3 linked regions of the Ovis aries genome follow. The protein of the gene in region 3 interacts with the protein of the main gene of each other region in a pairwise test. Links are inferred from orthologs where the notes say so. Each region holds a gene or a part of one and is shown on either strand. Other genes may lie near its edges.

Region 1 (9,453 bases), on a different chromosome or scaffold from region 3:
CCCTTTCTCCCCCTTTCCCCCCGGCCCATGGTGCGAGGCTGGGAGCCGCCGCCCGGGCTGGACTGCGGTGAGTGATCCCCAGCCCTTTCGACTTCCCCTTGCAGTCCCTGTACGATCTCCGACCTCCGGAGCCCCATCTCCGCGCTGGAGGGAAGAGGAGAATTCTAGGTTCGAAGTGGTCCGGTTCTCTCTCCTTTCTCCTCAGGACTTTTCGGTTCCCTGTTTTAACTGGAGGAGGGTGAGTGGGTGTATAGGAGGAGGGGAAGGCCGGGTTGGGACGCCCTTGGCGAGGGGAGGGTTGAGATTTGCCTGCTCCCTGGGGCTCATTGCCCCAAGTGCAGCAACTTTTTGTTCTCTGACCCAGTTTGGAGCCTTCTAGACTGCCTGCGAAATGGAGGATAGGAGAAACGTTTCCTTCCCAGGCCTCCCCTCCTCCCCTCCATGACTGCCTCCTGGCGACTTCAACACACGTACAGAAACCTGGCCTTATTCCTGGGGAGCATGGCCTTTGGGAATGAAAGGTTTGAGAGAAACTGCCCCTTCTGACCCCTACCCAGCCATACTCAGAAAACCAACCAGAAAAGTGAAAACCTGAGTCCTCAAAGGTTCCTGGTGTTGCCTCCTAATCAGAGACTTCTAAACTGAAAGAAGACTCAAGCTGAGACCTATTTGGTAATGTGGACCCAGATGATATATTTTATATGAACCCTCTTCTCACCATACATTTGAAGGGCTTTTTATGCTGAGGATAGGTAGGTGGCAGTAACTGAAAGTAAGCCAGTGAAAGTAGGGAATTTTTAAAATGATGCATACATATCCTAAGCATTGTCATTAAAAGTACTTTCATCTCACCAATTTCTTGGGTAAGTGTCCCAGCGTTTTCTTTGTGTTGCTGATTGGCAGTCCCAATTGTCTTTCTAATATCAACTACATAAGCAAATCTCTAATCTGGCTGCACCCTGAGAACTTTAAAATAAACTACTTTCATCTGCCCCAATCCAGGCTAAGTAAATCAGAACGAGGTGGATAGCGTGGGTTAAGTTTCCCCGGGGAATTTTTCTAATATGCAGTCAGACTGGAACCACTGCATCATCATCTGTGATTTCCAGGTTTGGTTTCTTTAAAGTGGAGACTGAATTTAAACACTTTTGAAGCAATATGAATGCAGAATACTTTTGAGATTTTTAAGTCTCCTGCCCCTCCAGTCTTTTACAGTTTTCTTGCCTTCTCCCAACTCAACAATTTTTTTTTAATGTGCATTTCTTTGTATTATGTCTTTCCAAAGCATTTGACTTTTTTTTTTCAGAACCAATTCTTAATGCACTGATTTTCATAGGTTTATAGGATGTTTAATTATATAGAGAAAAACAAGGGGCATAAGCAGATTTGGAATCACACATAACTGGCCTCAGCACATAGGGCAGCTGAAGGAAGTAGATGACTTTGCCATGCTAGAGACTAGGCTACCAGCCTCTAGTGTCCAGTGCACTGTGGGTATTGATTATGTAATCCAGTGGGGATCAGTTAAACCAAGCTCCTAAACCAACTGAACATCTTTCGCTTCTGTCCAGCTAATAGCACTAGTACCTAGTCCCTTCTAAACTAATTTACATTCTCTTTCAGCCTTCCAACCACTTGTTCCATTCATTCATAAACTGTTTTCTTAAAGCAATTACGACCATGCCTTTACTAAGTTGGGAGGACATAGGACAGAGTTTCTAACGGGCTTCTGGACAATCAGTAAATCCCCTGAGATAATAATTTATAATCTGTAAGTTTCAATGTTTGGGGCGGGATGCGAGGTAAGTCGTAACTTTCTGAGAACCTTTAACTTCTATTGTCAAAGAGAGTCATGATCCAAAAAGTGAGAAGCACATGAACTGAGTATCACTAAATGTCCTTTAAGGCCCTGAAAACTCACGAAAACACATCTCACTCAGGAACATTCTTCAGTTCTCTGAATAAAGACTTAGATAACTTAGCAGGCTCATATCTGGTCTTCACTTGAACTGTCACCTGTTTTAACCATAAGCCTAGGCTCAAGATTTTTGTTTTGGGCCACACCATGCCACATGTGGGATCTTAAGTCTCCTGACCAGGGGATCACACTCATGCGTCTTGCAGTGAAAGTGTGGAGTCCCACCCAGTGGACCACCAGGAAATTCCCAACCTAGGCTCAGGTTCTGAAGATCTCTTTTTCCTAACCTTGTGTGAACACCTACACTAGAAGTTTAAGGCAGCCCATTAATACTTTTCTGCCTTTTGTCCAGGGATATGGAAAGCCCAAAGGGAAATAAGGCTTTGACTTATTTCAGTACAGGCCTTGACTCTGTACTTTTTATTGGTGACTTAAGTAGCAGTAGGACATATCTGGCATGGTAACAGATTTAGTAAATTCAGAATTGATAGTACCACCATCACTGACACCTCTGCCCAGAGGAGTCCTTATTTCTCCAGCTTTGATTTCTTTCTTTTTCTACTTTCTCCAAATGAGGTACAAGGACACAAGATGCTATAGTGCCTTCACTGTGCTTTTGATTACTGTAGGATCTACCCTCTTTGTTATAGTTCTCATGAACTGGTTCTAGTTTCCTCCTATAGCAAAGCCAGATTCTTCCAGGGAGGTACCAGCTCTACTGCTGTGTCCTAATTTTAAAGCACCATTCTGTATCAAAGTCTTTCACAACTTGTGTTTTGTGTTACTGAAGAAATGTGGATGTATGCAGTACACCAAATATGACCTTTGCAGTACTGTTACACTGAACTATCAAGCCATGAGAATCTTAAGGATAGCAGACCACACGAATGAAAGCAACCTGTTTCCTTGTCAGCTGGTACCTGCACCTGCCTTATTCCCTGTCTAGCAGTCTTCACCTCACACTGGACTGCTTTATTCCTTGTGCTACCTTTTCCTCACGTCTAAACTGTCGCCACGACCTTAAAAAAATAGGGCACGAATAAGGTTGAGTGGGTGTCGAGCGTTGGATCATCAAGTATTCTCCAGCTTAGATGTAGTGGTGTTCCTGGTGGGCCACAACTTCCAAATGGTGGTTTTAAGTACCTACCCATGCAGGCACTTCCTCACAGCCACTCAGCTGTGTCTTGAGATGAACCTGTTGGGTAGCAGCAATCAAAATTCACCCGGCAGCAATCAAAAAGGATTTATATCTAAATTATAGATTCTCTAAAGCAGTCATTTTGATACTTTTTTAAAAAGCAGCAAAATCTTTTCTGGAATTATATCCAACTCCCCAAATATAAAAAGTACAAAATCAGATACCCTGGTTTCCCCCATTAGAATTAGGACTCTGCAATAACAGATTGGATACAGTAATTTAAAATATTCCATCTTTGCCTCACTTCCCCTGTTGCCTAGGAGGAGCATTACTTTTCAGAATCATCCCATGATGCTGAAGCAATGATAAAAACTCTAATTTATTGAGCCTTTAGTATAGGCATAATGTCAGTTGCATTTTTTTAGTCATAACCTTGCAGGTAGATGCTGTTATCACCTTTTATTCTGATGGGAAACTAAGGCTTCAGCAAGCACTCTCGGGAGTGGTGAAGCTGTGATTCATCTCAGATTTGTCTCACCCTAGACCTCTACCTCTAACAGCTCTAGGCCCCGCCTATACAACACCTAGCACACAGTAGGTGCTCTGTAAAAACATATGTAACTTTACATACGCTCAACATTATCTTCAGTTTTTACACATGAGGAAACTGAGGCGCCTGTAAGTTCAGACAGAACTGGGATTCAAACTTCCTATGTAATGCTGGCCTTAATCACATTCATATCCACTATGCCATGCTGCCTCCACTTACCCTCTGAAGGTTCTCAAACTGTATTGCATTCAAGGTCTGCATGGCCTTCAGTTTGTTAAGATTTTCTTGTTAAAAGGGAATGGTGACATGCATTAGAATGCTGCCAAATTTTTCTGTTCATCATATAAAATTTCCGATATTACACTGCTCTATCTGTAACTTTTACATAGGCATGCTGTCCTCTCCGTAATGTGTTACAGGGACTATTTGTAAACTCAGATGGGAGTCCTTGAAAAGTAAAGGGTGACAGATAATGTTAGTCTCTAATGCCCACACAGGGAACATTTAACAGGGAATTGAGTTAAAACTCCATCACCAGGAAGTCCCTGGTGGCCCAGTGGTTAGTACTCAGCACTTCCAATGCAGGGGCATGGGCTCAATCCCTGGTTGAGGAACTAAGATCCCCACAAGCCACGTGGCAAAAAAAAAAAAAAGTCAAACTGGGGCCCAGAATTATTCTGGGAAATAGCTTGGGCAGGTTTCCAGGAATAAAGCACAGTCAGAGGCTTTCTCTGCAGTCCCCACACCCATGTTGAGCCTGGGAGCCCTGGTGCCACTGGGTAGCTTGCAGGACCTGGTTACAGTTTATAATGAGCCTGCCCACCTGGTTCCAAGAAGAAAGCTGGACTGAAGAGATAAGAGCTGCAGGCCTCCCGCCCTGTGTGGAGGCGGCTGTTAAGGTCTGAGGGAGCTCTCTAGGCTTCCTGGAGAGAGACAGCAGTTGGAAGAGACAAAGGCTGGGAAAAAGGGGAATAACCTTTGTTCTGCGGAAGTCTTGGGGAAGGAAACATTCACCTCCCTCTACCCTCTCCGGATCAAAACCAAGGGGAACTCCATTCATCCCAGATCATTGACCCATCTCATCCTAATGAGACTTAGAAAAAAATTAAACTCAGTCACCTTCCCGCAACACTCCACCACCAAGAAAAGAAGAAAAGAAAAGGGAGCTGGGTAGAGGGACAGTGCTGTTCTACCTTCTGTACCTTCTAGATTCTCACACTTTGTATTCCTAATCTTCCACATTTTAGAGATAATCTAGAGATAACTCAAGAAATAGTCTGTTAGGAGCTAAAGTGTTCTGAGATTACATACATCTCTTTGGGTTTTCTAGGTGAATCTTCATTCTGTCACTCTTGTTGCATGAACTTAGAGGGTGAAGTGAATTTGAAGGGGAAAGATAAAGGCTCTAAGGATGTTTTCCTTTTTTTTAACCTCAGAAGTCAGATAATCATCTTGGTGACAACACTCACTATTTTTGTGACTTGGAATAATTTAACTTCTCTGGACTTTGGTTTTTTCATACCTATAGGGGGAATTATAGCAGGCTCTGATGATTTATAAGGTTATGAAAATTAAATGAGAAATTGTTAAACACTTTAAAAGCAATCCAGTACAGTACACATAGAAAATTGTTTTTGGAGCCCAACGTTTTGTTTGGTAGAAATTGAGCAATGGCCTGAAAGGGGAACCCCAGTGATCGAGCTGTTTCTCTTCTTATTACAGCTATCTCTGAAGGGCACAAATCAGAAAGCACCATGCCTCCTAATAAAGAGGCCAGCAGCCTTAATAGCTCCCCTGCGGGCCTCATCTGCCTCCCTCCAATCTCTGAGGAACTACAGCTTGTGTGGACCCAAGCAGCCCAGACCAGTGAGCTGGACAGCAATGAACACTTGCTCCAAACCTTCAGCTACTTCCCCTACCCCAGTTTAGCAGACATTGCCCTTCTTTGCCTGCGCTATGGGCTGCAGATGGAGAAAGTCAAGACTTGGTTCATGGCCCAGCGCCTTCGCTGTGGCATTAGCTGGTCATCTGAAGAAATTGAAGAGACTCGAGCCCGAGTAGTCTACCATCGGGACCAACTCCATTTCAAATCCCTTCTCTCTTTTACTCATCATGCAGGGCGGCCCCCAGAGGAAGTGCCTCCTTCTCCTGTGCCACCTCCGGAACAAGTTGGTCTTGGAATAGTGCCCCTGACTCTTAGCGAGCCCACCCAGATGAAAGGATTGAAGGTAGAGCCTGAGGAGCCACTGAATCACCAGAAAGCAAAGGAGACCCTGATGGTACCTGGCAGTGGAGCATTCCCCCATCAATCGCAATTTTGGCAGGATCATCAATGCAGTGGCCTCTCCAAGGAGCAGGCAGGCAGGTGTCCCGACCAGTCACACAGCCTAGGTACTGCCTCCTGGAACCATGCCACAGCTGTCCACCAGCCCCATGCTCGGGATAAGCCCGAATCCATCTCATTACTTGCCAGTAGTTGTAAGAAGGAGTCAGCATCTAATGTGACTCCTCCTTCCTCTACCTCTTCTTCCTCTTTCCAGGGACTGGCTAATGGAGCTCCTGCCACCTCTAAGTCCCTCCAGCCACTGGGCTGTGCCCCACAACCACTGTCACCCAATGAACAGGCACTACCCCCACAGCTGGAGCCAGCTTGGCCCCAGGGGCTAAGGCATAACTCAGCATCAGGTAGGGTTGGCCCTGCAGAGTATCTTTCCCCAGACATGCAACGCCAGCGAAAGACCAAGCGCAAAACCAAAGAGCAGTTGGCTATCCTCAAATCGTTTTTTCTACAGTGCCAATGGGCACGGCGTGAGGATTACCATAAATTAGAGCAGATCACTGGTTTACCTCGGCCTGAGATTATTCAGTGGTTTGGTGACACACGCTATGCCTTGAAGCATGGGCAACTAAAATGGTTTCGGGACAATGCAGTACCTGGTGCCCCTAGCTTCCAGGATCCAGCAATTCCTACACCACCACCTTCAACCCGCTCCTTGAATGAATGGGCTGAGACACCACCTCTGCCAAATCCCCCGCCCCCACCGGATATACGACCCTTGGAGAGGTACTGGGCAACCCACCAACAGCTCCGGGAAAGTGATATCCCTCAACTGAGTCAGGCATCAAGGCTTAGCACCCAGCAGGTACTGGATTGGTTTGACTCTCGATTACCTGAGCCAGCTGAAGTGGTGGTCTGTCTAGATGAAGAGGAGGAAGAGGAAGAGGAGGAACTGCCAGAAGATGAAGAGGAGGAGGAGGAGGACGATGACGACGATGATGATGATGTGATCATCCAGGACTGAGTGGGAGGCTGGGGGAGGGGAGGTCTGTTACTAAAAGACAAACCAACTTAGTTAACTGTTTAAACAAAGAAACCACATTATTTTCTTTTTAACTTACCTTGTGGCAAAGAACTGAAAAACTTTGTGTTCTTGAGGGTGGGGGACAGGGATATAGTAAGGGTAGACCAGGGAGGATGACCATGGAGTACAAAACGAGGTGGGGATCAGACGGGCAGAAATCTAGGCCTCCAATCTCACTGAGGGGCTTGCTATGGGTCTGGGAAAAGGCTCTTGCTCTTTTCATATCCCTGTTCTTTCACCTTACTATTCTACAGAGAGGCTAGGCTTTGGCCCACGGCCATGGAGTTCTGTAAAGGAGGAGGAAAGTTTCTAATACGACCCCAGTCCCAGCATTTTCCCCAAATATAAGGCTGCCTTGCACCTCATTTCTCTCTGAACACAAGTTCATGCATTAATGCAGCTAAGAATCTCAGTTATGTCCCAGTCAATCGCAAATACTTCCTCTCCTCATACCAGCTTGATTTTCTGTGTTTTCCTGCTGCTTTTTGAATCTCACAGGGAGCAGAATGTTTTCATTTCTGATACTGGGACCACTATGCCTTGTACCTTTCCAAAAATCCCCATTCTGTTCACTGTTTGTCTCAGGGTAAATCTTCCCCCCGGAGCTTGTGAAAAAGTTTAATAATTGGGTGGAGAATAATTTAGACTGGATATTTATTGGAGGGAATTAGGGGAGATGTCCTTTTAAAAAAGTAGAATTATAGATTACCGAGGAGTAAAGGAGAGGGAATGGTGTCTGCTGTTCGGGAGGACAGTCCAGATAGATTCCAGGTTTGGTTTTACAAACCTGACACTCCCACCTGCCTAGTTTGACAGAAACTGATTTTTTAATCTTTTTGGTGTTGGTCTGTGTCCACAAAAGAGACTTTACCCCCTGTTTATAATATCTGTCTTGAGGACAGAAGTCCTTATGTTTTAGAGTGGTTTTCATCAGTTGGGGTCAGATATAAAGATATCAGTGGGTTAACCATCTAGAAATAAAAGAGTGGAAGCCCCAAATTGCTAGACTAATAATAAAAAGGCCAAAAATAAAATTGTTTCTCTCTCCACTTTGCCATTTCTCTGGTTTAAAGATTAATGGAACCAAATTCATCTACTTTCTGATTTAGTATACTTTTTATTTTCAAAGCAGCAGGATATACTGAGGTAAAGTAAATGAACAAAACTTGAAATAGATCAGTACCTATTAATAGGCAGATTGCTTTCCACACCTGCTATAGCGTAGGTTCTCTCTCAGAAGAGGGGGAGTCTAGAAATGCCTTTAAAAATAAGCTCAGTTTCAGAAAACGTAATAGGATCCTATTCAGCTACCACGTCATTCCTAAGACCTAATTTATCTCTAGCGGATGCTCTCTTCAGTTTTCCAGTATTTTCACTTAAGGTATACCTGCCTATGGTCCACCCATTTAATTCCTCATTTCTACCCCTTACTACCCAAAGAAGAATAAATGTTTGATCTCAGTGGTAATGTTCTTTGCTTATCCCACCATTTGAGAGTTTACGACATCAACAGAGTTACAGTAGCAATAAAAGGGCATCCTCTTTGTTTCATTATCTGTATACTTTAGTAGGGCTTCAAGCCTGTGTTTCCAACTGTTACGAAACAGAAAGGAAAATCAACATATTTAACAGTATCTAGGTACAGAGGAAACAATAGGGAAATAGAAAAATTATAATAGGACAAGGAACAGAGTTACTGCTTGTTAACTGACAATGGGAGAATATATACAAAGCTAAAAAGTGAAATCCATAAATAAAACATGGTTAATAAGTATATCACCCCACACCACCCCCCAATGATGCCAAGAATTCTTTTTATAACCTTTGTTTCAAGTTGCAGGAAACAAGGGAGCTATCTGTATCCTGTGGGAGAGATAGTAAACATCTTCCTGAAGGACTGACCTGATCACTTTCATAGGAAGTAATACAGCGGTATAGGGTCAAGATTGAAAGAGAGAAAGTACACAATGAAACGAGCGTAGGCAGGGGTACATTTTCCAAGGGCATCACACCTAAGTGAGTATGAGATGCCTCTGTCCATACTTCAGCAGTATGCATAGGTGAGACCTTGAAGGTGGTCTATCCAGGAGTGTTCCATGCTTCTCTCCCTCTGGCTAATCCCATCTGCCTCTGTTGGTAGAGATTCTGCAGCACAGGACAGGAAGGCAGTTAAGGGCGTTTATAATCAAAAAGGGCAAGTAAGGCCCTTTTCAGTCATTATATGAAGTTTAGCATGACAGTAAACCATTGCTGTTGCTTCCCCATAGTTTTTTCCATTGCAAGAAAACTTGTAAGATTTGATACAACCAGTGCGACAAAGGCTATGTTGCTACTCATGAAACTGGAATGTTTCAGTTGGTTTATGGTGATAAGGCAGAATATTTCTAAAATCAAACCAGGGAAACCTGGAACATGACTACCATACCCAGAGGCCATTACCAGGGAGGGAGAATTATGTCTCTGGGTAAGTGGTACTTTCTTCAAT
Region 2 (10,627 bases), on a different chromosome or scaffold from region 3:
AAAGCAAAACAGTTACTACACGATGCTGCGATTTCACTCCTTGGTATACACCCAGATTTTTTTAAAAGGGGCTCAGACACTTGTGCCCCAATAATTATTTCAGCATTATTCACAACAGCCAAATGACCCAAGTGTCCATCAACCTATGCAAGGTTAAAACAACACATGGAAGGATAAACTGTGGTATGTGCATGAAGTAGAATATTATTCAGCAGCAAAAAGGAGTGAAGTTCTGATGCATGTCATGATACGGATGAGCCTTGAAAACATTGTGCTCAGTGAAGAAACCCAGAGCAAAAGGCCGCCTGTTGCATGATCCCAATTGTATGAAACATCGAGAACAGGCAAGTTCATGGAAAGCAGAAAGATTATCGGTACAGAGCCTGGGTGGAGTGGGGAGTTTGGAGTTTCTGCTTAAGGATTAGTGAGTTTCTGTTTGGGATGATGACAAATTTTCAGAAGTAAAAATAGTGACATTGCATGGCATTCTGAATGTAATTAATGCCACTGAATATAATTAATACCGTTGTGTACTTACAATGGTTGAAACGACAGATCTTTTGTTACAGAGATTTTACCACCATAAAAAAAAAAAAAAAAAAAAAGATTAACTAGAGGGACTTCCCTGGTGATCAGGAGATAGGATTCCACATTCCCAATGCAGGGGCCCGGGGTTTGATCCCTGGTGGGAGAATTAGATCCCATACGCCCAGCCGAGACCCAGTGCGGCCAGGCAGAGAGGTGGATAAATATATTTACAAACACAACCTGAGTTCTCAGGAAGTTTGTTTCCCAAAAGAAGGTGGATGATGTTCGTAGAGGAAAGAAAAGCCGTTAAATAAAACCAAAAGGAACTACTTCTCTAGGAAAACGTTCAAGCTACTTCGATTAGTCTTGAGGTAACCCTCAATATTAATTTTCATCTGAAACACAAAATAAGGGGCAGCTGACTCTTGAGAGTCCTTTGGACTGCAAGGAGATCCAACCAGTCCATTTTGAAGGAGATCAACCCTGGGATTTCTTTGGAAGGAATGATGCTAAAGCTGAAACTCCAGTACTTTGGCCACCTCATGAGAAGAGTTGACTCACTGGAAAAGACTCTGATGCTGGGAGGGATTGGGGGCAGGAGGAGAAGGGGACGACCCAGGATGAGATGGCTGGATGGCATCACCGACTCGATGCACGTGAGTCTGAGTGAACTCCGGGAGTTGGTGATGGACAGGGAGGCCTGGCGTGCTGCGATTCATGGGGTCGCAAAGAGTCGGACACGACTGAGCGACTGAACTGAACTGAACTGGACTGAACTGAACTGAACTGAACTGAGGCAAAGAAGTATGCAGCTGGCTTAACTGCCTCCCCCCTCCCCCCCGACACCCGCCGGAAGCCTAAGCCTCTTTCTGCTCTGCAAGGGGTGAAGTGAACACTCCACTTACGACCCTTAGAGGTCATGCTTGCTGTCGATGCTGTATCTGCATATCTCGTTTTAATAGCACCGCCTCCTCCGTAGGCTCACAGTAGCAATGTCCTGTGTGCAGTAAACGCCAGATTAGCAGGGAATCACATTTCTCTTCGCCAGACGGGCCCCTATCCAATCCACCGCTGGCGCTTTCACCATCCTGAAGACCCAGGGGAGCGCCGGCCAGCTGACCTTGTCCAGAGGGCGACGTCCCCTCCGCACCTGCGATTCCCGCGCGCGGCCGCCAGATGGTGCTGCCTCTTCGCGGACTAGGATCAAAGCGCGGCTGGACCCAGACGCTCCCCCGACCTGCGAGTTTTCAGAGGCGGGGTCGCATCTTGATCTCCCTTCCGGCCCAGCACTTCCACTCCACACCAGGGTCTGGACGGCTCCCAGCCTGGTTGCCTGCGGCTCCACAGTCACCGGGAGGCCCGGCTGTTTTCCCTATTGGTCCTCACAGCACCCTGGTGGCTCAGTGGTAAAGAATCTGCCTGTCAAGTGGGAGATGCAGGTTCCATCTCTGGGTTGGGAAGATCCCCTGGAGGAGGAAATGGCAAACCAATCCAGTATTCTTGCCTGGGAAATCCCAGAGAAGGCTGGCAGGTTATACAGTCCATGAGGTCGCAAGAGTTGAACATGACTTTGCATAAACAACCACAACCTCATGACACCAAAGATGTGAACAACCCCCTCCCAAGGGACAACAGGGTCAGTCACCCCCCCCTTGGAAGGTTACCCCGGAGTCCCTGCATCCGCCTTTCTTAGTTGCAATCATCTCATGTGACTCAAAGAGGATTTGGGGACATCATCTCAGTCTGACGAGAAAGAGGGAAGAAAACTAAGCCAGATCTCGTCTTTGAGGACATTCTGGTACATTTGGAAATGCCTCCACAGCTTTTCCCTCAGGCAAAGGTCATTCTAAAATGAAAACGGCCCCCAGCACCTCCCAGGCTCACAAGATAAGGTGGCCTGTCTGCTGCTGGCATGAGGGCATGTCACGCATAGAGAGACCACGTCCTCACTATGAACCCAAGAAAGACGGCAGCCTCGGACAGACCGCCCAGACGCTGCAGACGCTGCAGCTGTTTGCATCAGGAATGTTATGCTCGAAGGGGAACCAGCCTTCGCTCTCTCAGCCCATCCTGAAAGTGAAAGAGTTAGTCACTCAGTGGTGTCCAACTCTTTGCAACCCCATGGACCCTCTGTCCATGGAATTCTCCAGGTAAGTGTACTGGAGTGAGTTGCCATGAACATCTCCAGAGCATCTTCCCGACGCAGGGATCAGACCTGGGTCTCCTGCATTGCAAGCAGGCTCTTTACCGTCTGAGCCACCAGGAGAGCCCCAAGGGCCATCCCGGGACACCAGAAATCAAGGCAGAGTTTGGGAGGGTCCTCTAGTGAGTCCCAATGGCAGGGGGTCTACAAATGAGGTGGTGCAGGCCAGAAAGTGCTAGAGAGAGAGAAAAGAGACAATTGGCCCAAAGTGCCCACCAGAAGCCCTCCCGCACACGTCTGCAGGCTCCAGTTCGGTGTCTCTCTGCCTTCCGGGGATCTCCTTGGCCTTGAACCTGCCTGTGCGCCCTTTACCCCCAGCCTCCCCAATAAGAACGTCAGGCCAGACCACAGAACAGCGCCACCGCCTGAACGGTCACACACGGCGCATTCCCATCAGCACAAGGCCCCTTAGAATCACACCTGCCCACCAGAAACCCGGCAACCACCAACCTGCTCTCCGTTTCTAGAATCTCATCTCGAGAATGATACATAAACGTGATCGTTCAGGGGGGACCCTCAGGGATTGGCGATTTTCCTGCAGCGTATTTCTCTGCAAATTTGCCCCGGCTGCTGAGGCCCCGATCGTTCACCCTTTTTACGGCTGAGTGCTCTGACCCTGAGTGGGCCTAGGGGCAGAGGCGGCGGGAGGGGCGGACACGGCGCACCCCCTTCCCAGAACTGCCATCCCTTCAGCTGCCTCGGAGCGGAGCCGGGTCCGGCTCCCAGGGGCGAGGACAGGGTAGGGGCGGGGCGAAGGGCGTGTGGGCGGGGCTTATGCCGGGGCGGCGCGAGGAGAGGTCCGGACAGGTCGGGGGCGGGGCTGCGCTCCGGACAGAGGCGGGGGGCGTGGCCTCGGCGCTCGTGGGCGGGGCATGGGCGGGGCCCCGCCGGCAGGGCCCCGCGTCCAGGCCTGCGGAGCGCGCCCGCATTGTCCGCTCGCGACGCCTGTGAGTGCGTAGTCCGCGCGGCCGGATCGTGGCGTGGACGCTGGACGTTCTCCCAGAGGGAAGTCTCGTCCTGCCGGTCGTACTCGGGCGTTTTGGCCGAGGTGAGTGTCCGCGCTCTCCGGGGGCCGCTTCCCGGGGCCAGGGTCTCCGCGGGCTTCCACCCCCGCGTGCCCGAGCTTCCCCCTGCACTTGCGAGGCCTGGGGCGCGGGTGTGCGCAGGCCCGTCGCTGCCCCCAGCCGCTGCCCTCGGCCCTGGACTCGGCCCGCGCTGACGCCACGCGCGGACGGCAAGGGGCCGCCTGGGGTCCGCGAGCAGGCGGCTCGGAGGCCTGGCCTGGGCTCTCGGGGTTCCGGCTCGGCCTTTGCCCCGGGTGCCAGGACCCGAAACTCAGCTTCTCCAACCTTAGTTCCCTGAGAATCTCAGCCAGAAAATCCAAGAAGTGGGACATGTATGTGGTGTGTGCTTCCTGCGCCGCTCTTTACGGTTCCAGGGGGGATGGAGGGAGCCCGGGAGAGGAGCGGTCGAGGAGGCTGGAACGAAATAGAGTGCATAAAGGGTGTGAGTCCGTTTGGTGTGGGGTGATGTATGTAGTTTAACAGCGACACGCTTCTGTTTTCCTGTCTGCCTGATAAGGGCGCCCTCTTCACGGAAGGAGACGGCTCTCCCTGCTGTGGCGCAAGGTCAGTAGGGAAGTGCTGGACAAGTGGCCTGCTTCTTGGGCCTCAGTTTCTCATTCTGTACAACTAGGAGAATTGGACCCCACGAGGAGTCAGAACTCCGAGGCCTCCAGCGGCCTGGTAGGTGATGTAACTAGGTACACTGGACCAGGCAGAGAGATAAGGGGATGCCTCCCCTGCTGTCAGCACTGAAATGAAAGCTTTTCTTCCTAAACTAGACTGTCTTTGGGCCCTGACCCCGGGGACCTCAGGAGAAGGTGCTCCCTGAGTCTGCAGCCCATCACTCTCCGGACATGCTCCTGGGGCTTCTGCCAGGCTCAGGATAAAGTCTTCACTCGTGCACTTCTGACCCGCCCAGCCCTTGGACGGAATCTCCCACCACCCAGCTCTGTTGTAACCGCATGTCCCGTGTAGGCTATCTGAGCTCCCCAGGCCAGTCCCAACGCTGCCTCACGCTTGCTGTTCCCCTGCCTCAGCCTGCCCACGGCTGCACATCGAGCTGCCCACCATGTCTCTCCACCTCCCTCAGCATTTGTTTCCTCTTCTAGGTCACTGGCATCACTGAGAGTGACCGTGCCTGAGAGCTCAGGGCCCCCTGCACCCAGGACTAACAAAACAGCACACCCTCCTCTCGGCAGGATTCAGAGAGAAGAATACCCATCTTCCTGGGACATGGCAGGTGACTGTTAGCTATGGGGGAGTTAAACTTTGTTAAATGAAAAATTTATTAGAAATTGAATAATTTGTTATTAAAACTCCAGACAACACTCGTGTGTAAAAGTTGTTTATAATGTGGACTGCTACCTGGAATTATCTTGTTTTGTATTTTCTTGTTTTATTGTTCATTTCAGCCCCACCAAAATAGAATGCTTATCTTGTCTTTGCTTTGCCTCCAGCCTCTGGGATGACCCCCTGGGACATAATAGCTGCTCAATCAATAGATATTGAGTGACTGAGCCCCGGGAGTGACCATGGTTAGAAATGCCGCATGACGCATGCATCCCATTGTGACATCTTTTTGTTCAGCACCATAGCATGAAAACCCTTGCATTTCATAACATAAAAATTCACGTTATTTTACACATATGTTGTACGTTGAAAGTGAAATCGTTCAGTCATGTCCGACTCTTTGCAATCCCATGGACACCAGGCTCCTCCATCCAAGGGATTTTGTAGGCAAGAGTATTGGAGTGGGTTGCCTTTTCCTTCTCCAGGGAACTTCCCGACCCAGGGATCGAACCCAGGTCTCCTGAATTGTAGTCAGACACTTTACCATCTGAGCCACCAGGGAACTGTGGCACTGCTGACATCTGGGGCCAGAGAGTGCTCTGCCGGGGGGTCCTGACCCGAGCTGTGTTCCGCAGCAGCGCCTCCCGCCAGATGCCACAAGCAAGACATGTCTCCAGATGTTGTGAAACACTCCCTGGGAGGTAACACTCCCTGGTTGAGAACCATCACTGTGGATATTTCATTTGTATCCTGTTTCCTATTAAACCCCCAAGTTCCTTTATAACAAATGAGTCTGAGACATTAAAACTGTTAATCATTAATTTCACTCGTGCATTTCAACCTTTACACTCTGCTGAGTGCCCCAAAGCTCTTTGCTTCAAACTAACATTTATATTTTCTCCTTAAGGGCCTAAACAGAATAATATGGATCAAGAGTTTAAATATTTTAGTCTTAAGAGGTTCCCACAGAAAATTTAAACACATCCCTACAGCTGCCTTCTAGAAGGAACTGGCACTCGACCTTGGAGAATGTCCTGAAGGAGGACAGTGCGGCTCCAGCTGCTGCTGCTGCTGAGTCGCCTCAGTCGTGTCCGACCCTGTGCGACCCCATAGACGGGAAGCCCCCAGGCTCCGCCGTCCCTGGGATTGTCCAGGCAAGAACACTGGAGTGGGCTGCCATTTCCTTCCCCACTGCATGAAAGGAAGTCGCTCAGTCGTGTCTGACTCTTTGTGACCCCGTGGGCTGCAGCCTCCTATGCTCTTCTGTCCATGGGATTTTCCAGGCAAGAGTACTGGAGTGGGGTGCCATTGCCTTCTCCGTGCAGCTTCAGAGACTGTTGGTATGAATGACAACCGCCAGGCAGTGGGTGGAGCCTCTGTTGTTAGGCTTTCCACCGAAGCCGGGCTTCATGCAGGCCCTGCCTCCCCATGGGACTCAGGATCTGATTTTTTTTTTTTTTTTTTTTAATATATCTATGTGTCAGTTTTCAGTGGAGAGGAAGGAAGCAGAGCTGTGTGTCAGCGACTGACCTGCCAACAAGGGGTTAGCAGGAAAGATGAGTCACAGTAGTTTCTTATTCTGAGCTTAGGCCACATGGCTGAAACATCTCGTAGTGGATAACCAGAAGAGATTGGGCTTTAAAAGAATGCAGTCGTGTTATTCCTGGGGAACTGTAACTTGACTCCTATGTTGGTAAACTCGAGCAGTGGTGAACTGATACAGCCAGGTTCTGAAAATGCTCCTTGGTTTACCGCCGTCTCCCGCAAAAAGCGTCGGTCTTTCTCACTTAGCTTCAGCCGTTGTGTGTGTCCTCCTATCAGCTGGGTCCTTGTGGAGCTTTGACAGAGGAAGTATTCTTCAAGAGAAATGGTTTCTTGTCTGGATTTAGGTAAGAAAGTGCTCATCGTCTACGCACACCAAGAGCCCAGGTCTTTGAACGGGTCCCTGAAGGACGTGGCGGTGGCTGAGCTGAGCCAGCAGGGCTGCACCGTCACCGTTTCTGACCTCTATGCCATGAACTTTGAGCCCAGGGCCACAGGGAAGGATATCACTGGTGAGTCATAAATGCTCTGGGTTGTTTTTTTTAAACTTTCTTGGGGACTCTCCACACTGTTCCGCACGGTGGCTTCACCGTACACTGGCCGCACGAGGGTCCGCTTTCCTGCACGTCCTCGGCAGCACTGGGTGTCTTGTCTTGCTGACAGCCATTCTGACCGGCAAGAGGTGGTGTCTCGCCATGATTTTGCTTTGTGTCCCTGATAATCAGTGCTGTTGAGCGTCTTTTCACACGCCTGTTGGCCATCTGTGTTTTCCTCAGAAAGATACCTGTTCAAATCCTCTGCCCATTTTTAAATCAGATTGTTAGGAGTATTTTTTGTCTTCTTGGAATTTTTTTTTTTTTTTTAGTTAAAAAAAAAGTTTGTAAACAAAACTCATCATTGGAGGTGGTGTACAATTCTCATGTCGAAAAGGTCCGCAGCGCACGGCTTTTCCCGCAGCCCCAGCCAGCCAGCTTCCCGGCTCCCACAGGAACCGGGGTCTCCCACTGCCTCTGCATCTTTCTGGGGCCAGTTTGTGCCGTCTCTGGGGGCACCTAAAGCAGTTAACAGAATAACGGCTTTTCTCTCCGCTTTTTAAAAATGGGAGCACGTGCTCCTGTATGCCGCCTTGCGTGGTGCTTTCCCTCTTTCTGCCGTTGTCTGGAGGTACCGAGGCTTCAGTAGTGCCCGCTCGTGCAGTTCCGGCTGCTTCTCACTTTTGCTGTGATAACAGGACCGCAGCAAAAGTGGCGGCCGCATGCTTTCCCACGCGTGCGAGTGTATCTAGAATGGAGTTGCTGGGCAGAGGGAACGTGTGTTTTGAATTTTCATCGACAATATTGAGCTGCTTTCCGTGAGTGCTGTACCAGTTCACTCTCCAACCCACAGTGTTCGCAAGTGCTCCTTTCCTTGTTTTACGGAGTTTTTGATAACTGCCAATTGACAGGTGGGAAACGGCCTCTGGTGTAGAGTTTGAAGCATGAATTGTAAACGCATTTTTACCCAGTGTATTTGTAGTTTCGGCTTTGCGGTGCTGGCTTCTGTTTACTTTTGCTTAGTTGCTAATTTAGACCTTGCGTTTTGTGCCACACAAACTCTATGCTTATTTTTGGAAGGTGCTATAGTGTTTGGCAGGTTCCCCTTTTTACAAGTAAGCACGTTCTCTACTCAGAGTTTATTTCAGTGTGTGATGTGAGGTGTGGATCCAGGTTTTCCCAAGTGCGCGCTCAGCTCTCATCCCCACTTATTACATTATCTAGCTGTCTGCCTTAGAAAGCCGCCTTTGTCGAGCCCTGAATCCCACGCGTCTCAGAGTCTCCTGCACTTTGTCTTCCGCTGTTGTCTTCCTGGCCCTGACTCAGGACCGCATGGCTCTCGCTATTTCGGCGCATCGTGTACCATCTCCGAGAGTCAGGGCACCTTCATTTGCCTTATTGTTTTTACAGCTACTTGGACTTTCCCATAAAGATTTTTTGAATTAGCTTCCCAGATTGTGGACTGAAAAAATAAAAAGCACAGCACGCCAGCTGTGCTGTGCTGAGTCGCTCAGTCGTGTCCAACTCTCTGTGACCCCAGGGACTGTAGCCCACCAGGCTCCTCTGTCCATGGCCTTCGCCAGGCAAGAAGACTGGAGTGGGTTGCCATGCCCTCCTCCAGGGGGTGCTCCCAACCCAAGGATCAAATCCAGGCCTCCCGCACTGTGGGCAGATTCTTTATTGGCTGAACCACCAGGAAAGACAGTTGTGATTAAGTTTTGTTCGGGATAAAGTGAGGACTGTGGCCTGGGAGACAGCCTCTCAGCTATCTCTGGAACTGCTCCAGAGAGCTGGAGGGAAGGTCAGGATGGGTGGGATTCAGGTGAGGGGGGCATGTGGTCATCAGGCCCACATTTTGGCGGAAGGCTGCTGCTAGCCGTGAGGAGCAGGTGTCACCATTAGTGACTTCAGTGCTTTAGAGACATGAGGACTTGCAAGAATTGGGCTCATAAAATCTTCTGAAAATACCTATCTGAAGGCATGTTTTTCTACCTTTTCCTGGAGCATAGAGCGTCTCATTCCTGATCTCCACCCTGAACTCCTTTCCGGGGGTGCTGAAGATCAGTGGCTACAGCAGCTTGTGACTTAATCCCTGTAGAGCAGATGGCAAGCTCCAGCCTTTAGTTGGCAAGATTCTGAAGGTAACGGATTGTTTACAGCGGAACTTCTCAGTGCCACTCCCTGCTGTTCCAGCAACAGGCGTGGTTCCTCATGTGTTCACGTTCTTCTACGATCCTCCAGGTGTATTTACGAGTTTCCTTCATGCAGATCTTGCGTAAATCTTTCTTACTGGGTTTTGTTCTCTGCGTGAAGAGGACTGGTCTGTGCATGTCTGTGTGCACGCGTGCGTGCGGCCACTACGGCTTTCTCACTGTTCGTAGTTTTAAGCCAATTCTCTGGGTCTTTCCTGATACACAGTCAAACCATCTGCAACTAATAATTTCACCTGTGCCTTTCCAGTAATTCCCAGTAAATTAAATACCTTTAGGTCCCTCCTGTTTGCAATTGTGTTAACAAGACCCCAGATTTAGCATTTAGTACTGGTGGTAATGGTTGTATCCTTGCCTCTCCTTGTCTTTCTCTTTTAATAAACCAAACAGCTCTTTTCACTGAAAAGCAACAGAGCAGGGTCTGGGGAGGCAGAGAGTACTGTGTGATGGGGCCACTGGCGTTCAGGGAATCAGGTGAGACACGGGCTCTGCGGAAACAGCATTTCAAGTGTGGTGAACAGTGGGCAGAGGGTGAACTCTTAAGAGCCCCTTCACACACCCTCCTTGGCCTGCGGCCCCAGGGTCAAGCAGGCAGAGCTCTTCGGTGTGGCTCATGGTAGGTCCTCCTCCAGATGTTAACAAAGCACGCGTTCCTGTAGAGCTTGGGAGCCCTGTAGATACAGGGACGAATGGGGATGCGCTCTGTTCTCTGGAGCTTTCAGGAGTCTTGTTAGCGACTGTTGCGTCGTGGCGCATGTTATAACTTACCAGTTCCCGTGTTGACTCAGCTGTCTCCATCTTCTGTCTCAGTCTCTGAGTCGGTGTGTCTGCATGACTGTGGATTTCCTGTCTTACTAAGAAAGTGCGTCCACACCCACACAGATAAAAATATTCCCATTTCCCCGATATTTGCAGACCTTTGCTTTGCTCTGTTCTTTTATATTTTACCTGGAGTACATGTGCCCCCCCCACACACACACTATCTGTTCACCACTCTCGGGAGCAGAGTCCGCCGTGGGCGCCACACCTGGGGGCGGCAGCCTGCCTGAGACACAGGCTCTCCTCCTCGGGCTCTCTGCTCAGCACACAGCCTCGCGCACAGAAGGGTCCCAGCCGAGCTTCTGAGTGAAGGCAAGCCCCCGGGGAGTCTAGGCCCCGGGATGCTCTCGGCCGTGGCGCTCAAGGGTGGGGCCGGCTCTACTCGGGCCACCCTGCAGGTCTGTGTGCTGGGGGGCCACCCTGAGCCCCCCACTCCTC
Region 3 (10,695 bases):
TCTGAGCTCTTCAGATCTACATCCCCATACATAAAAATTTAACATTTTTAAAATTCCAATAAGAACCAATATCTAATTAAGTTAGATATTAGATAAGATATTAAACATTAAGATATTAAGATACATAAGTGGTTTTTGTTTAAATCAGGAATTGCCAAGCAACTTCTCTAAAACCAGGCCTCTAAAGAAAGTTATTAGAAAGATAGTTGACACCTGACAGTTAATATCACCATATGTCTTTTATTGGTCCTGCGTTTCCTAGACACAGATTATCATCTCAAAAATTTTAGTAGTGAGTCAAAGGAGTTGATTAACAGTTTATGAAATTTTATGGATTTAATATTTAGCCATTGATAGATGTAATCTGAATAGCTAATCTATTAAAACTGCTTTGATCTAATTTTGGAGTTGTTAATGTTTTGGAATTGGATCTCTGCTTGAGCAACAGCCTAAGGATATTCAGCATTCATCTTTCTCCAGTGTTCAGACAGTCATCTGCATTTCCAGAGGGTTGATGACAGGGCAACTTGGAGTTTTAGGACAAGCATCCGCATTTGCATTTCAATAGTTCCATAATTCTATGGAACTATTGAAATCTCCTCAGTATGCTTCATTGTTTAAATAGTGAAGGTGGCCAAAATTTGTTCAAGATTCATAAATCTTAGGAAAAAGTTGAATCATGGTATTCAAGGCTCATTCTACAGAGAACACTTCCTTCTTATTTTTTTTTTAATGCTAAAATAGTGTTTGTTAAAACCCATAGGCGTTGCATCACACCTGCTCGTATTTAAAATGATTTATCCATTTGAACCTCTAGAGTCTGAAATCAAGGTTCTATGATATGACAAAGAGGAAAAGAGTACATATGTCTTGAAATATATTACAGAGGTATCATCAATTTTTAGTTTGGGGTTTCAAAAATATCTTTCTCCTCATTGTATGCATGTTAAATTGCTTCAGTCATGTCCTACTCTTTGATAACCTATGCACCGTATCCCACCTGGCTTCTCGGTCCATGGGGATTCTCTAGGCAAGAATACTGGAGTGGTTTGCTATTTCCTTCTTCAGCGGATCTTTCTGACCCAGAGATGGAACAAGAGCCTCTTATGTCTCCTGCATTGGCAAGTGGGTTCTTAACCACTAGTGCCACCTGGGAAGCCCTTCTCCTCATTCAGTTCAGTTCAGTTGCTCAGTCGTGTCCGACTCTTTGTGACCCCATGAATCCCAGCACACCAGGCCTCTCTGTCCATCACCAACATCCGGAGTTCACTCAGACTCATGGCCATTGAGTCCGTGATGCCATCCAGCCATCTCATCCTCTGTCGTCCCCCTCTCTTCCTGCCCCCAATCCCTCCCAGCATCAGAGTCTTTTCCAATGAGTTAACTCTTCGCATCAGGTGGCCAAAGTACTGGAGTTTCAGTTTTGGCATCATTCCTTGCAAAGAAATCCCAGGGCTGATCTCCTTCAGAATGGACTGGTTGGATCTCTTTGCAGTCCAAGGGACTCTCAAGAGTCTTCTCCAACACCACAGTTCAAAGGCATCAATTCTTCAGCGCTCAGCGTTCTTCACAGTCCAACTCTCACATCCATACATGACCACTGGAAAAACCATAGCCTTGACTAGACGGACATTAGTCGGCAGAGTAATGTCTCTGCTTTTGAATATGCTGTCTAGGTTGGTCATAACTTTTCTTTCAAGGAGTAAGCGTCTTTTAATTTCATGGCTGCAATCACCATCTGCAGTTATTAGAAGGGGACAATTTTGTTTTTATTTAAGAAAACAGTTCCACTTAACACATGGTATATAAGTTCTTTGGTTACCTATTTGCAATGATCTTAAGTTTCCTCATAATTGGCTGCGATTTTACATACAGAATTTTTTTGTAAAATATTTTGGTAAAAGGGAGTTAAATCCTGGAGTTAAAATAAGAAATTCTGAGTTCAGGTGCAGGGCAATTGGGTACATTTCTGAGATGAGCCTTGTGCCCTTCCAATAAGTGTGGGAAAATATTGTCCACTAAACAGTTTTAGGAAATGATTGAATAATGGATATATGTGAAAGTTATGTGCAAACTGCATCCAAAAGAACTGCAAACCTATAACAGTATTGATACAGCTGTATAATTGTTGTGTGAGGTTATTTATTTATTTTTAGATTTTCAATTGTAACCTAAAAATTTTCATATTACTGTCCAGCTGAAACACTGAGATGTGGCATATGTTTATAAGAATAAAACTGTGGGTTGAAAAAGCAGAGCCCTAGAGAACTCAATTCAAAAATTTGCCTTTTTGAGGGGGTTTAGGATTGGGAACTCATGTACACCTGTGGCGGATTCATGTCAATGTATGGCAAAACCAATACAGTATTGCAAAGTAAAATAAAGTAAAAATAAAAATAAAAATAAAAATTTGTCCTTAATTTTTTTTTTTGTTTGTTTCCTTGCCCTTTCAGAACCCTTTCTTGGTGGTGTTTTATAACTCACTTTTAAAATGACCTGGCTTTTAAAAATATGCTTTTATTCCTTTTTCCTTTTACATGCAAATAATATGATACACTGGAAAGTTATCCTTAAAAGTCACCCCTCTTTCATGTCCCAGGTAAAGTGGAAAATAATCATTCTTGGTACTCTGCTGATCAGGTGTCAATCTCCCAAGTCTCTTCCTAGACAACCCTTAGCAGCCGGAAAAGATGGCTTTTGACCTTGAAGATTTTAGCATTGCAAATTCAAGAATATGAGCAAATGCATTTTCTTTTTAGTAAACTGTGAATTTGCATCCACTGGAGTGGCATCTGAACACCATGACGTCTACTGTATCAGCGATGTAGAGAGATGAAGGGACATTCTCACTTATCATGAGGAAACGAAAAGCTTATAGCCCCTGTATTCCAAGAAAAGGAAAAAAAAAATGATTTCAGGATGATAAATCTTATTTTAAAGAGAGAATTGACCTGTTGGGTTCAGAGAATAAAAGAGAAGTCTAAATATAGCACCAGCCTCGTCAATAGGGGTTTCTTAACATATTGCTCCTTTGGGGAGTTTAAAGACGTGTGAGACTTTATATGTCTGTGTGTGCCTTTACGTGAGAGAGGAGATGAATGTGCCTGAGTGTGAGAATGCGTGTTCCTGGCCTGAGGAGAGGGGGTGGAAGCGTGAAGGGTGGTTGGAAAACCCCTTCTAATTTTGTGAACACCCAGGGCAGCCACCCGGGCCCCAGAAGGAGAAGGGAACTCGAGAGCAGGCACAAAGGTCGTTGCCTTGACTGATGTGAAGAGACTGAACCGCTAGCAGAGACTTTTCTCCTTGGCAGCCAACAACCTGCAGCCGGAAGGCGGGCGGGGGAGGAAACCCCGAGGAGGCGCTCCCGGGCGCCTCTTTGCTGAGATAGCAGGAGCGGCAGCCTGCGGAGCCACCGGCGCAGCGTCACCGAGCCGGTGCGGATGCGGGGCGCTCGGGAAGGCGCAGAGGCCCGGAGGCGCTGGTGCGGCGGAGTCGCCCGCGCTGCAGGACGCCGCGCCGGGGCCGCCGGAGCGCCACGGGCCGGTTGAGCTGCAGGAAGAGCCGGCGGCCGCGCGCTGCCCGGAGGCGCCGTGCCTCGAGCACCTGCTTGAAGCCCAGCGGGCGATTGAAAGACCCCGGAGAGCTCGACCAGTCGTCCCGTTCTTTACAAAAAACAGCCAGAGCTGGGAGAAGGCAACCATTTCAGTACTCCACGGGACTGGGAATTTGCTTCTCACAATTTGGGGGAGCCCGAGTAGAGGTCAGAGGGGCAGGCGAAGATCCCGAAAAGGAGCCGAGGACTGTGAAAGTGGTCACCCCCTTCCCTATTGCTGGAAAATCTCCTTGACAGGTTTTAGCACTTTGAGGCTGCTGCAGCTGGTGTCGTCGGAAAAGGGGGTGGGAAAAATAAGAGAGGGGGCGGGGAGATCAGGGAGACAGCCAAGAGCCAGGAGCAGCGCCTCCTCGACTGCCAATCCAGGCACCTGTGCACCAAGCCACTGCACCGAGGAGGACCCCACTCCGGGAGAACCCCGGGCTTGAAGCCACGGACAGTCAGCTCCTGCGCAGCGAGTTCTCACCGGAGGGACCTGCACCCGCCCACTCCACCGTCGCCTGCAGCCGCGGGAGCGCACGGCCCCTCCGAACCGCCCGCTGCTTCCTGGGTCCCCGGGGATCCTCGCCCAGGAGAGGCGCGGCAGCGGGTACGGGGTTTTACGGAGTTGGGTGCAAGATTCGCCTCTTTGGCTCGTCTCTTCTCCTCCCAGGATTTATTGTCTGTGGAGCCTTCTGGGGTGGGGAGGGAGCTGCGCCTCCGCCACCGCCGCGGCCGCCTCTGCTGCTGCGGTCGCTAGCGCGGCGCGCAAGGCAGGCGGAAGCTGGGGAGTGGATGCGCTCCTGCCTCCCCCGCCAGCGCTTCGGGCTTCCCCTCGGCCGCTTCCCGCGGAAACCTCTTCAGCTGTCCACCTGAAGGGCACCAGCATCATGGTCTAACGTGGCAGCTGCCTGGAATCCCCGCTTTCTCCTTCTTTTCTCCTCCTTCACCCCTCCTCTCCTCCGAGGTCCCTCGTGCCCACTCTACTGCGGACCCCGGACACTTTAAGGAATAACCCTCGGCAGCTGCACGATTCACTTTCTCCGGAACCTCATGGGCAGTTTCTCCCGCCGGCGATGTGAGTAGGATAATATTGCTCCGGGGCCAAGGGGGTCGCGGGGGCCTCGCCGCTTGTGGCCTCAGCGACAGTGAGCGCCCTAGGTGAGGGACCCAGGTGGCCGACGGAACGGGGGTGGGGGTTAGGAGAACCCGAGCCTTCAGCGCTCCCTGGGAGCTGCTCGCCCGCTGGCCCGCGGAGGTGGTGAGGATGTGGTAGATTGCGGGGCATTTAGAATCGCGTGCTTGCTGTTGCGGGTGCTGGGGAGTGCCGAGTGGCCTGGGCTGGCGGGTGAGCTTAAAGGGTTACATATTGCGAAAAGGAAGGCAAAGAGCGATTTTGGGTGCTGGTGCTGAGACCGACGATTGAGGTTGAGGTTGATCACAGTTCTTTATTATCTGAATATCTCCAGTCAGCTTTTTCCGGAGGTGTCTGAAGGATGAAGCGCTCCTTTGATATTGGTTCTCTGTCTCTCTCTTTCTCTCACACACACACTTGTGGCAGGTCACGTTTGTCCCTTTATCTTAAAAGCTATAGTATTACTGTGTGATGCCTATTTGTTTGAAAAATATAATTAGAAGACCTTTATGCCATTGGGAACTGAAGGGATAGGGTGGGGTTTTGGGGAGGGGATGAAGGGGAAGAAAGAGTATAAAAGACTGGAGGACCAAAAGAAGTAGGGGAGCGATGGAGCGAAGCCCTTCTTCCCGGGAGTCAGGGAAAGCGATGTCTCCTTCCCCTAAGCTCAACAACTCCAGCCCACACATCTCCTTTGTGTTGCTCGGAGAAGCTGGTGAAGCAGCGCTATTCCCAATCCCAGCGCTGGGCCCCCTTCAGCATCTTGCATCCTTCTTTCAGTCATTAAGGATGCAGGACTAGTTTTGGGTCCTACGTGGAAAGAGGGAGGAAAGCACATTAGCATCAGGGTAATAATAGCACCTTAGCTCACGGACAATTAAATTGGGTGCCAAAGGTTCTCCTGTCTTTACAGTTTGCAGAGTCAAGAATGGGAATAGGGGATGGGACTTTTACAGAATGTCTTTTTAAATAGTATGACTTCATGATAATGGAGATAGCTGCAAAATTGCCTTATTATACTACTTCTTGGCCATCAGGTCTGCATAAAGGACCCGCCTCCGCCCTCTCCCTTACTGTCTCCTCCCCATCAAGTCACAAAGCGAGAGGGCTGGGCGAGAGGGCGCAGCGCCAGGCAGAGAAGGGAAGGGGTCACTTTCACAACTCCCAGGAATCGGCTTCAAAAAGGAACCATCTGCGACTCCCACGACTCCCACGTTCCTTTCGAACTTCTTCAAAAGAAATTAGAAAACGGGGGAGGGCAGGGTGCGCTCAGTGAGACACGATCTTCCACCTGCTCTTTTCCATTACTTTCCCAATACACTTTCAACACAGAATTCACCTGCAGTGGTAACTGGGTCACCACGTAAATGTGTACCTGTGTACGTTGAAATGTGGTTCTCTTGGTAGATAAAAAGCAATTCATAAGTGAGCATATTTTAACGTGGGTAAAATTTCTAAGCACCATAGAGATTTTATAGCGTGGGCGAGAAGAGTGCATTCCAGCGAAAGCAGGACACGTGATCTCCAGCGGGAGAGATACAGTATTAGGAACTCGGTTTTCTTTGTTCCTGACTGAGCCTATGAGATGCTCAGCATCCCTATTGCTTAAACCCTCCTGTAAAACGGAAAAATAATAAAGTTGATGAGGGAGAGCCTAGAATGTGGGGAAGCACAAGTAGATACCTGCGAAGGGATTGAACCTTCTGCTTCGCCACCACCTCTCCTATTTTCCTGCCCACCTTCCACCCACCCAGCTCCTCGCCGCCGCTAGCCCCCTATTTAAAAGTGAGACCTTCCTTCCGGGAGACGTAGCGGAAAAGTTCCCCAGGCCCTGTACACGTGGGTTCTCTAGCGCCTCAGAACCTGCTGCGTTTCTCAACAGATTCTGCCACCTCCCCAGTCCAAGTGTCACGCCTCCATCCAGGCGTCTTGAGCTGACTTCACAGACTCTTAAGAGAACCTCCAGGGGATTTTGGGCAAAAGACGGTAGAGCAGAGTCTGTTCCTTGCTTCTTGGAAACCGTTGAGAAAGTAGGAATGTAGGAATGATTTTATTTTTCCTTAAAAATAAGGCATAAGACCAAAGTATGTCGAGAGTGATGTTTAGTGATGTTTGCATTTGGACGCCCAGGAAGTGTATCATCAGGCCTGTGGAATGTCCTGAGGTGTGATTAGTTATTAATTTAATGGAATTAGAATTTGTTCTAGACCCACAATTAGTTCTCCGACTTGGAGATTTCTTATTTCATTTTTCACTCCATGTTTTATAAGCGATCTTACTGGGTCGAAGTTTTTTAAAATGTGGGTTATTTCTGTACTATGTTGCATTGCATCATACTAATATGTTGGTAAGGAAAGCAGAGTCAATTTCCATGGCATATTATGAAGTGAAAGTTCTTTATGCATTTTTAAAAAGACTTGACTGTCCAAGAAAAGATGTGTACTTCCATGGCAACCCTTACATTCCCCATCACGTGTGCCTGCACATTTGCAGCTTCAGAATTAGAAACCACTTCCTAAAGAAATAAACCTGTTTCTGTTACAGGAGCCATGTTTTATTCTGAATTTTAGGGCTGCTTTAGGCTGGCATTAAAATTTTCTTAACTAAAATCCCATTTCACTTTTGTTTATAAGCTTTAAATTCTGCTTCCTTTATAAAATTCAAAACGTAGCTTGAAGTGTTTTGCGTGTCTGTATTTTGGTGTGTTTTTTATTTTTTAAAAATTGCAAAGATGGAAATTAGTATCACTGAATTTTTAGCGATTATAAAGTCATTAAATGACAGTATTATCCACATAGTGTTAATTCTCAGAGCATTTCTTAGATCTCTCTCATTTGCAGTTTGTAGTCCATGGTAATACTTGATATAAAAACCTAGTTTTTTTTTAAATGACTTAAAATAGTCACCTTTTTAAAACACTTGAAAATTTGAAGATATGTTGACGTATCAAAATTACACCTATTTTTACTATAATTTTATCTTTTGATGACTTTTGCTTCAATATGAGTGGATCCCTCATTCGATGATATTATCATTTCATTTTATACCCAAATTAACAGAGTAGACAAAGAGTAATCAACTACTACTAAATTACCATCTGAGTTATTTCTGGATCCTTGTTCCCTTTTTTTCCTTTACATAAATTATTTCATATTTTTTGGAAAATTTCTCATTTAGAGAACATGTGCCATTTGTTGAGTATAATAATTAATAAAAGACAAAAAGACATTACTTGTTTGGGTCTCTCCAGTAACAATGGCTGCTTTGTAGAGTATCATCCACATTTCTTTTTGACTGGGTCTAGTCAGTCACGTGAATTTGCAAGATGACTTTGGGGGAAACATTAATTCATATCTATGACAAAAAACAGACCTTCAGTTTGTGCCAAGCCAGCTGACCAGTAAGTGATTCATATCTCCAAGGAAGAACATACTGAAGATGATTCTGGGATCTTCCTAGAACCTTGACGTTTTTCTCTTTGAAGCTCTTTACTACATCAGTATTCAATAGAGGGTTTTTAATGCCTCAGGATTAGGGAATTTTAGTATCAAGCAGCAGTTTGACCATATAGTGTTGCTATTAAATTATACTCTGAGGGACTACAAAATCAGAAAAGAGATTCCTAGATGATAGGTTTTGTACATATGTTTAAAATATTGATTTGTGAATTGTCAATGAAAACTCAGATTTAAAAGTGGTACCATAAGTCAGCAATATTTGGAAAATGATGGCCATAAATCAGTAATATTTTCCCTTTACAAAGTTTTTAACCATGTTTTGTGAATCAGGCTTTAATCATTAGAAATATTCATGTTTTTATAGAAAATACTCTAATGAATTATCCTGAGATAGTGAAAGAAAATTAAGAAAACCAAATGTATTATACTTCCAAAATTAACATGTGATTTGGTAATACAAACAAGTCTCCTTTAATGCTGAAAATAGAAGTAGTGATAATTCCTAATTTATAATTCTAATACATAGCAAATAATAAGACAGATGGTACCTTTTAGAGGAGTGCAACATAAACTTTTTGGTACAAGTCAGGTTTTCCATAGTAGTGTGTGTGTGTATACGTGGTTATATGTAGTGATGGAATATGCTTTTAAGGTATGCTATTTAAATAAGAAATATATTTCATTCCTATTTTGGAATTAATTGATATGCTTAAAATTCACGAGCTTTTGCGCCCAAGAGCCAACCCTGATCGTCTGGCTTCTCTTAACATACTGCATAATTACAGTAACAGCTACCAGTTCCTAAGTCAGGTGCTTATTTCCAGATAATCTTTAAAGAAGCAATATTATCACCATTTGAAAAATTAGAATGTTTAGATTCAAAGACAGAAGTGATAAGTTCATGTCACAAAGCTATTAAATAGAAAGTGATGAAGATTTAAATTCAGATTTGTCTCCTGTACCTTTTCCTCCATACCATGTCTTCTCCCTCATAGGCGAAAAGTGGTGCTTGTTAAATAACTGAAATCTGTAGGTCATTGAATTATTTCCTAATGAATAAAGAAAACAATATTTTGAAACAGCTTTTCAAAGTTATCAACATATTTGGCAATAATGTACCACATTACTTTTGTGGTCATCTTTTAATATTGGTATAGGAAATGCTGCTGCTTGTCTTCCTGGCATAATTAACTCATGACAGAAACATTTAATAAACTCGTAGAACCTGTCATATAAAAGCTCATTAAGGAAGTTTTCAATAAAGCAATTTTGGGTCAATAGCTGTCATATCTACTTTGAAACAGTGATGATATATTTGATATATAAATCCCTAGAGAGGTATCATGTATGCTATTTAAATTATTAACCATAACAGAAAAATTATCATTTGTCATTCAATGACACATGAAAAACTATTAAATAAATTTAATAACCCAAAGATTTCCTACATATACTCCCTTTCATTATATGGTTTACTGCTTGATAAATTACTTAAAAATCTCTATACAATAATATTATTTTACTTTAATAAACATGGAAGCAATAGTATTTATCAGAGATGAAGTATTAAAATTTATATTAGCATTGGCATGATCTGTTTAAATATTTTAATACTAGAATAGATACTTAACATTGTTTAAAGACTTCACTTTCCTCTTTCTTAGTGAGGCAGTTTCTTCAGTTACATCAGTATATTTTTGCTGTACATCAAGTTCAGTACTTTGAGAACATCTTTAACCTTAGGTAATAGTGATACCGGGGCCAAGGTGATAGAATAACAAATTTATTAAGAACATGGGAATTTCAGGATACGTGTGTGTGTGTGTGTGTGTGTGTATGTGCAGAGAGAGAGAATTAAATTTTGTGCTCTTCAAGAAGTAAGAAGAAATGAGAAGCTATAGGTTTCAATTATACAATACAGATGAGGTAGGTGACCTGAAAAGAAAAATACTGATAGTGTAAGTACAATCATTGTGAGATTTTCACAGGGAGAAAGAAAAGAAAGTGGTACTGTGGAATACAGAGCTAACAGAGAAAAAGATGTGAAAAACAGTCTAAGAAAGCTATTTGACTTAATTCCCCAAGAAGAAAAAATAAGCTTTTATGCTATTATGATATTGAAAGATATAAAGATATATTTGTGTAGTGGAAAAATATTTTATAGATGGCTGTCTGCATTATCAAATTATTTGCTAATGGAAGAAAAGGCAGGGAATGAACCTTATTGAAATAGTGCCTAAATGTTATGAGGGTATTTGTTGCACTAAAAAGGTGAGTAATGGACACAAAGCTAAAATGTGTCAGCTGAATTTAAAGGATTAATGTAATGCAAATGGTGTAGCTAAAATAACTTAACAGTGTAAATAACAGACTTCTTAAATGTTAACTGATTAAGGGTTCTGCATCCAGTACATTCACCATTGCAGTTCTTACTGTGAGTAGGCAACCTACAGAGTTATGAAGGATGGAGATGCATCTCAAACCTCATAGTGTTAGCACTGACAACACAT

The links.
Region 1: the proteins of LRRC7 (region 3) and HOMEZ interact in a two-hybrid assay, tested with the Homo sapiens proteins (2 studies listed by BioGRID). The two-hybrid records come from large-scale screens. The link is inferred for Ovis aries from reciprocal best matches to the Homo sapiens genes LRRC7 and HOMEZ.
Region 2: the proteins of LRRC7 (region 3) and NQO2 interact in a two-hybrid assay, tested with the Homo sapiens proteins (2 studies listed by BioGRID). The two-hybrid records come from large-scale screens. The link is inferred for Ovis aries from reciprocal best matches to the Homo sapiens genes LRRC7 and NQO2.

The regions. Positions count from the first base shown.
Region 1 is NC_056060.1:21,429,361-21,438,813, forward strand, and holds the end of HOMEZ (homeobox and leucine zipper protein Homez), read left to right. Parts: 5' UTR 1-27; coding exon 28-67; exon of another isoform or gene 68-238; intron 239-364; exon of another isoform or gene 365-672; intron 673-5,328; coding exon 5,329-6,908; 3' UTR 6,909-8,017; downstream 8,018-9,453. Other genes in the region: RNF212B (RING finger protein 212B), read right to left, coding at 9,048-9,113. UniProt on the Homo sapiens protein: May function as a transcriptional regulator.
Region 2 is NC_056073.1:49,743,634-49,754,260, reverse strand, and holds the start of NQO2 (ribosyldihydronicotinamide dehydrogenase [quinone]), read left to right. Parts: upstream 1-3,620; 5' UTR 3,621-3,779; intron 3,780-4,085; 5' UTR 4,086-4,125; coding exon 4,126-4,134; intron 4,135-4,312; coding exon 4,313-4,359; intron 4,360-4,426; exon of another isoform or gene 4,427-4,476; intron 4,477-4,556; exon of another isoform or gene 4,557-4,613; intron 4,614-4,619; exon of another isoform or gene 4,620-4,766; intron 4,767-4,904; coding exon 4,905-5,035; intron 5,036-5,252; exon of another isoform or gene 5,253-5,330; intron 5,331-6,974; coding exon 6,975-7,139; intron 7,140-10,627. UniProt on the Homo sapiens protein: The enzyme apparently serves as a quinone reductase in connection with conjugation reactions of hydroquinones involved in detoxification pathways as well as in biosynthetic processes such as the vitamin K-dependent gamma-carboxylation of glutamate residues in prothrombin synthesis.
Region 3 is NC_056054.1:45,328,656-45,339,350, forward strand, and holds the start of LRRC7 (leucine-rich repeat-containing protein 7), read left to right. Parts: upstream 1-3,463; 5' UTR 3,464-4,668; coding exon 4,669-4,670; intron 4,671-10,695.